Linked DNA regions of Bombyx mori. The protein of the gene in region 2 interacts with the protein of the main gene of each other region in a pairwise test. Links are inferred from orthologs where the notes say so. Each region holds a gene or a part of one and is shown on either strand. Other genes may lie near its edges.

The links.
Region 1: the proteins of cyclin-C (region 2) and NADH-ubiquinone reductase interact in binary tests that used the Homo sapiens proteins (3 or more experiments, as listed by UniProt). The link is inferred for Bombyx mori from reciprocal best matches to the Homo sapiens genes CCNC and NDUFV2.

Annotation. Positions count from the first base shown.
Region 1 is NC_085117.1:7,841,679-7,845,438, forward strand, and holds the start of NADH-ubiquinone reductase, read right to left. Parts: upstream 2,725-3,760; 5' UTR 2,641-2,724; coding exon 2,605-2,640; intron 2,485-2,604; coding exon 2,359-2,484; intron 1,876-2,358; coding exon 1,685-1,875; intron 953-1,684; coding exon 805-952; intron 1-804.
Region 2 is NC_085121.1:11,205,374-11,209,133, reverse strand, and holds the start of cyclin-C, read right to left. Parts: upstream 2,421-3,760; 5' UTR 1,133-2,420; coding exon 542-1,132; intron 461-541; coding exon 368-460; intron 262-367; coding exon 139-261; 3' UTR 1-138. UniProt on the Homo sapiens protein: Component of the Mediator complex, a coactivator involved in regulated gene transcription of nearly all RNA polymerase II-dependent genes.

The DNA.
Region 1 (3,760 bases), on a different chromosome or scaffold from region 2:
TGTCAGTACTTAGAATTTTGTATTATGGACATACTTTATGTTAGGTAAACTAAAACGAAAAATCAAATACACCATTAATGTAGGCTCATTTGGTGTTCACGATTGACTTCCACGGTGAAGGAATAACATCGTGTAATAAAAACCAAACCCGCAAAAGTATAATTTGCGTAATCACTGGTGGTAGGACCTCTTGGAAGTCCGCACGGGTAGGTACCACCACCCCGCCTATTTCCGCCGTGAAGCAGTAATGCGTTTCGGTTCGAAGGGTGGAGTAGCCGTTGTAACTATACTGAGACCTTAGAACTTATATCTCGAGGTGGGTGGCGCATTTACGTTGTAGATGTCTATGGGCTCCAGTAACCACTTAACACCAGATGGGCTGTGAGCTAGTCCATCCATCTAAGCAATAAAAAAAAAAAAAAAATTTTTAAGTAATAAATACATATCTGCATAGTCAATTCTGTCCTATCTTTCTTAGTCTAGAATCCAAGCCAAATTAGTGTTATTTTTTAATGAAAAATAACAATATTTCCTTAGGAAAACGATTTTATTAGATTGATATTTAATATAAAATTTCAAATATATTCTTCTATTCAAAGCTTTCAAATTTAATATGCATCTGATGATGGGCATGCAATGACTGTGGTGCATGGACTGTGTATTCTCTCTACTGCTTTCAAGTATTTATAACATATTTAACAATCTAATGTAAAATTATTGTTAACCTTAGTATTATTATGTGTCATGTTGTTGTATAAGTCACTATGCTGATGCTTTCAAAAGAAATGACAATTTGGTACGAACCTCTGAAACAGAAAACTTGCCACAAGGACTGTTGCCTCCAACTTCACAGTTTGTTTCCTGTTTAATTGCATTCAATATGGCATCAGAGCCTCGAAGCCAGCAAGGAGTAGTCGTACATACTTGAACATGGTATTTACCAATTGGTCGTCTGTAATAGTTAATAATTCCGATAATTTTTTTATTGCTTGGACAGGTAACTGAGACCATGGCCCCCCTCATGTTAATGAACCCATAGACATCACAAAATTGACGCTGTTAATCTTTAAGGGCTTCAGAAAGCACTTAACACCAGGTGTACCGTGAGCTTGTTTACATGTAAGCTAAGCAATGAAAAAAATAATCACTAAACTAGTTATGGCCTATTAGTTAATGCTTAAACAGAGGACACCATACGAATAGAACTGAAGAAAAGTATTAAATCGAGGATAGCAAAGAAAAATAATTGTCTATGAACATATAATATTTAAATAGTAGATAAAAAAGATATGTAGTGTCGTGGGACACCGGATAAGAACGAAGTTCCTTATTATAAAAATATTTATTTTAAGTTCTATTCGAGGTATAAAGAAAATAAAACTGGAGGTTTCGCAACAACCCACGGTCATTCAGTAACGTGCGAACTTATTATGGTACACTTCATTCACGGCTGTTTCCATAAGAGTTAGTGTATTGCGCGAACGAACTCTCTGAGATCGTGGTCAATGAATGTTAAAAAGATATATTATTTTTTATACGTTTTTACAAAGTTACATCGTACACTGTGTGCATTACTAATAAAAATCTTATGTTATGGACGTTTTTTCCTGGTTAGCTTACCCCTCCGCATCGTCCCAAGGTAAGGAACTTCGTTCCAATATAGCATTTAATAGCTAATATTTACCTTATGAACATTGTGTAAAATGTAGCTACTTCATAAACTCTCATTTTTGGAAGATTTAAGATCTCAGCCACCTTGTGCATAGCTGAGATAGGTAGCCAGCCTCCACTTTGTCGTTGTGCCAGATCCAGTAAAGGAATCATGGCACCTCGCTTGTGACCTTCAGGGTAAATGGCCAACAAAGCCTCTACTCTCTGGAAAACAAAAATTAATATTGATTGATACATTTGAATTCAAAAAAACATACTATTTTATTTTTATTTTTAATATTTTTGTCAGATGTCAGACGTTCCATCCGTTATGTGCTTAAGCAGTACCTATAGCTATGGCATTGTGTAGCACTTATCTGAAAATGTGTCTCCAAGTCACAATATCAATGGTTAAATTCTTTTGTGAAATAATGGTACATGGCATTATTAAGATGGCAATATTATTGAATTCAGATTTGAATGATTTCTTCAAGTTTTGTTAAGTTTTTATTTGAACTAAGACAATATAATTAACAAGAAAAAAAATTTTAGAATTTTTTAAAATTGGAACACCTTTTTTTATCTAATTCTATTTAACTTAGAAAAAATTATAACTATTTATTAGAATACTAAAAATAGTCTTTTATTTTTATTTTCAATTGTCAGAAGATTCAAATTCAGATCCAGCAATAACAAATGAAGGCACACCTTTTGATTGGCCTGCGAGAACTCAAAGGGAATGCTCGGGTTGTCCTCAGGAGTGTCTCGGTGGACAAATAGACTGTCATGTTGCCTTGATGCTGTGGTCTGAATTGACCTAGAGGATATACGCCACTGAAATCAAAAACGACACTTTTTCAGTAGAAAAATAGGTATCACAAACGTCAAAACAATAATTATATAACCCTGTTATATCCAAAGTTTATGTATAATTGTGAGTGAAATTTTACCTACCAAGCCCTGTACTCCAGTCCTGAGGCTGGATAACATTTTTTTGATTGTATTCTAATTTGCTATAAAAGTTATATTGCGAAACACTGTTCGCGAACAGATTCGTTTTGCTCACAACTTCAGCTCAAACTTCATATCTCACTCATTCTACTGTGCGTTCTAAAACCAGTACATACCATTATTGCCAGTACATACCATTATTGTTTTGTCAAATATTTGTATTTAGTAATATTAAGTCATGACCAACTTGACTTTAAAGTAAAAAAAGGTGTAATAGCACGCAGTTATGAGAATTTGCTTAAGTTATAATTATTGTTTGAAATTTACTAACATATTTTAGAATCTTGTGAGCCGTGAAACCTGAGTGGCGAGTTTATTCTAAACGTACGCAACCAATCATTGGCTAACTTCAGACGGAACAAAGCCCCTGCGTATTATTTTAGCAAAATAACTCAAAACTAAAATTGCATTACGATTAAATGTTTCCGAACTCTTTTGTAAAAAAAATTGTTACTTAACGCATTACCTTTGTGCGAAAAATATCTTGATCGGAAATATATGAAGTATTTGATACACAATATTAATGTTCTGCAGCCGAGAAGACTATACCAAATATAACGTAAAATTACAAAATGTAGTCCAAGTTAGGGATGTAAACCGGTTCGAAGAAAACCGGAGAAAAACCGGTTTTTATACATACCGATAAATACCGGTTTTTATTTAAGAATACCGGTTTTTTACGCTTTACATTCACAGTTGTGCTACCAGTGCTACCAGTGCTACCAGATCAAATATACAAGCTACAAATATAAAAAAACCGTGTTTCAGAATCAAATTACCGTGCATTACATTTAAAAACTACAGTGCAATAACCACAATATGGTTGGTAGACTTTTAGCGTACGAAATGAGGACCGTGACCCAAATATCCACATATCTGCATCCAACACTCAGGAATGGCTTTGGCCAACCAGAGCATATGTTGTCTGCAAAAGAGATGGTGCATCGTGAACTGGGGAATCTTCTTGAAGAATTTTCAACTCTCGCTTTATAATCGGAACAGCCAGAAAAAACCACAAGCAATTTTAAAAAGCCTGGTATTCTGGATTTTTTGCATTCGCGAAAACGGGATATTCCGAACGCCACGACAGCCGCAGTGA
Region 2 (3,760 bases):
ATAAAAATCACTTGAAATATAAGTGACCTCATCAAAAATAGTAATTTCTTTTCCTAGGGAATTAAAAACAAATTTTTCATGTCTACAATTAAAAATTATATATCCATTATACAAATCCATACTACAAAATATGTCTTGCTATCTCTGGGGAGCTGGCTTTGGTTTGGGCATCTTGGACAATAGCCCTTGTATTTCTTTTTTTTCATCATAACTTTTCCACATCTCATAAAGGTTAATGATAGCTCTCACAATTTCTTGGATCTGTAAATTTGAATTTTTAAATGAGTAGTTTCAGAAGTTTTGTAATACAACCACACAATAACCATATTTTTTTTAATTTTAATATATATTCAAGTATATTTCTCACTTTATCCATGTCAACATTTAGCTCAGCAAACCAAGGTTTGAGATTGTCTTTACCAAGCATCACACATGCTATTTGTAAGGCACCAATTGCAATCTGTAATTCAAAATATAATGGCAATGAAAAGTTTTATGAATAAAAAATGAAATGTGACTATTTGCATTACATAAATCATACCTGATAGGGTGGGTACAACAAACTAACATCTGTTCTCAAGGAATCGTTTACTATTCTCCAAGCGTATGTCAGAAGTTGATCATCTTGTCCTATGTCTTGGACAAAAAGTAGTAATGGTCTATATGGTTGGTATACAATTAAACAACAATCTAAATTTTCTAGTAAATAAAATTCACACTCCAGAATGTGATTTGTCCTGTACGGGAACTCTTGTTGTCCATAAGCATAACTAAACTTATTTTTTATAACTGTCTGGCAGGTTGTTATTAATCTGGAATTGGATATAACACCAAATTCTTCAACTTTAGATGCAAGAAATACGCATGTTGGTGCCAAAAGAAGTGGATCAATACACTTCAAAGAGTTCCTTGCATAAAATCTTTTAAAGTAAACTGTTGCAGTTGCGATTACTTGCTGACGAAGTTTAAGTTGTTCGCCTAAAACTTGAATTATACTAGCAAAAAAATTAAATACTTTTTGGTATTCTTCTTCTGATAAAATATTCAAATCAAACTGGCGATCGCGCCTTAGCTCTTGCTTATCGAGTATCCATTGTTGATGATGTGAGCTTTGCCAAAAATTTCCAGCCATTTCTTCAAAGGCAAAACACAATAATTATTAAAATTTGGTAAATTTTGATTTATCAAAAAAACATACTTTTTTTACAAATTTAACATTTTTCCATCCATTCCTATTCTATGAAACTTTTGAAACTGTGTATTTTAGTAATATGTATGCATAACCAGGGGGGTGCAACTCCCATACAAAGGAAAAGAACATTCAACTAGCGTCATCTTTAGGAACCGGCGAGGTCATTTTTGAAACGTTTTGGCCTTAATGATCTAATAAACTCACTAGATGGCAGGTACGAGTTCTGACTCAATAAAAAAGGTTAGCGTACTTTGAAGCAGTGCTTCCACTTTTAGGGAATTCTCCCTTTTTTAGGGAAAAATAGCTGATATTTTGGATGATAAAGACAATTTAAAAAATACCAGGATTTAGGATAGTTCGGGGTAAAAAGCAAAGCCTATACTAGTAACTGTTGTGAATTTTAAAATAAACGATAATTAAAGTAAAACAATGAACATTTTATTTTATGGAGAGAGAATGACATTAAGTCGAGTTGACAAGTAAAAGAATAAAACAGAGTTGTGTATAAAAACTATAAAGAAGGTTTGATTCAACAGTAACCCTCTAGTAAAGTAAATTATAGATTAAGCCACTGCTTTTTTCTTAGGGATTCCCCAGAATCCCAATAAGTATAATCCGCCAAACTTTTATTTACCTATTTTCGTTGATGTCACCAGAACTTACTTGTATTGTAATATACAGGTACTTCATGTACCATGAAAGATTATCATGGTAATTTCATTTACGAAAACCTTGTAATTGTCATTTCACTTTTGCTAGCAGTTCCTTCTTCAAAGACTGAGGTGGAAAGATAATTCAGTGTTCTCAAATGTAAAAACTGACAAAAGAAACAGGCTTTCTAATGAAACCCTGAACGGCTTGCTTCATAGAAAGTTCCCAACTTTGCCAGCAAACAATTGCTCAATTTTAGAACCGAACAGTGTTAGGTTGCGTGCAGCAAAAGAATATAAAAGCAATGCGTCGACTTCCTTGAAAATTCTAATCCTATATATCTATGATCTTCTGGGGGCGTTTATATTATATATACCTACATTAAATAATATGCTGTGGTTTATTTTCTGTATTTTATTTATACTTTCTATATAAAGGATTTATGAAAGTTGTCTAGGAAATTTTAGGGATAAATTCAAAAGAAACTAGGGTAAAATGTGTTTAAAAAAACGTAAGTGGAAACACTGCTTTGAAGTTTTCAAAATTCCAGGGCCGTAAAACAATCTCAAAAAAAAAAAAAAACGTTTTCAAAATGTCGTAACGATTTAATTTTTTAAATCGTTTTTTTTTTGTCTTGGTGTGAGTTATTTTACGTTGTAGTATTAATTTAGAGCATCTTTTAGCTTTATGAGAATATTAGACGATTAGACATTGAGAAACTCTGTTTTGAATTCTCTTTAGACATAACTTGGTTCCAATACTTTTTTCTTCGTTAGCGTTTCGTAAGCCTGTGTAACTATTTTCGTTTCTTACAGAAAGTTTATTATTAAAAATCAGCATGCCTCGAAGATCGAAAATGAAATGCTATTTCGGATGCCTTGATAACGGTGAGTTTACACTATTTTCCCGGTATATTATTTGCTAACAGAATTATTATTCATAATATAATTAAATGAATTAGCACCAACTAATGGTCCTTCCTATTTCTGCTGCCTAGCTATCATATATGTTAAGTTTGATCAAAACAGTCGGTGTTAAGTCTCGTACTATCACACACACACCTCAGATAATAAAATTGTCTCGAGTGGGTGGAAGTATTTATGTTTTGCAACTCAGCGTATTATATGCTTATTGTCAAGTGGGCCCGAACTAGTTTTTTGGAATGGAATAAACAGGAAAGCATGACTGATTGATAGTCATGCTTTCCTGTTTAAATAAAATACAGCACAATTGATCTCACATCCAAAGTTAAATGATGGCATTCACATTTTGTTTCCTGGTGTTTGATAACCAAGTTACACCAAGTGGCCTGTGACCACGTTCATCCTTCTACCCAATATAAAATAATGTTTTTATTTTTGTAGACAAAGGTTTGATAATGACAAAATTTTATGGAAAAATTATAAGGAGCACTAAAATGTCTGAAACATGAAAAGATTGATGCACTATATTTGAACCAGAACGTGTTATGTAATATATTAATTTGTAAGTATGATTACATTAACACTAAATTTTTCATGGTCGTATTTTTTCAATATTTGTTACATACTTAAGATACTTTGTTTCTCCGTTTCAGAAGAGAAACTGATTCAGCAAGGAATGTGAACTCACAAGGGATCTTAATTTTTTTTAAATATGTTTATAATTTATAAATTAATAATTGAAATAGTTCATAAGAACTAAATTGATGCCAATTTTGTTTTAAAATAGGTTGTTTAGTTCTTATAGTTATACTATTACGTTTTGAATAGTTGTAATTAGTAAGTTAGTAATATATGAAAATACTGATATAAATTTTTGTAAATGAGCTTTTGTAAATTCTACGAGAAGATGATTTTAATTAATGATCAAAAGTCAACGATCTTCAAAAGCATTATTTGCAATTATTTAGATTAACTGTGGAATATATTTGCTAAG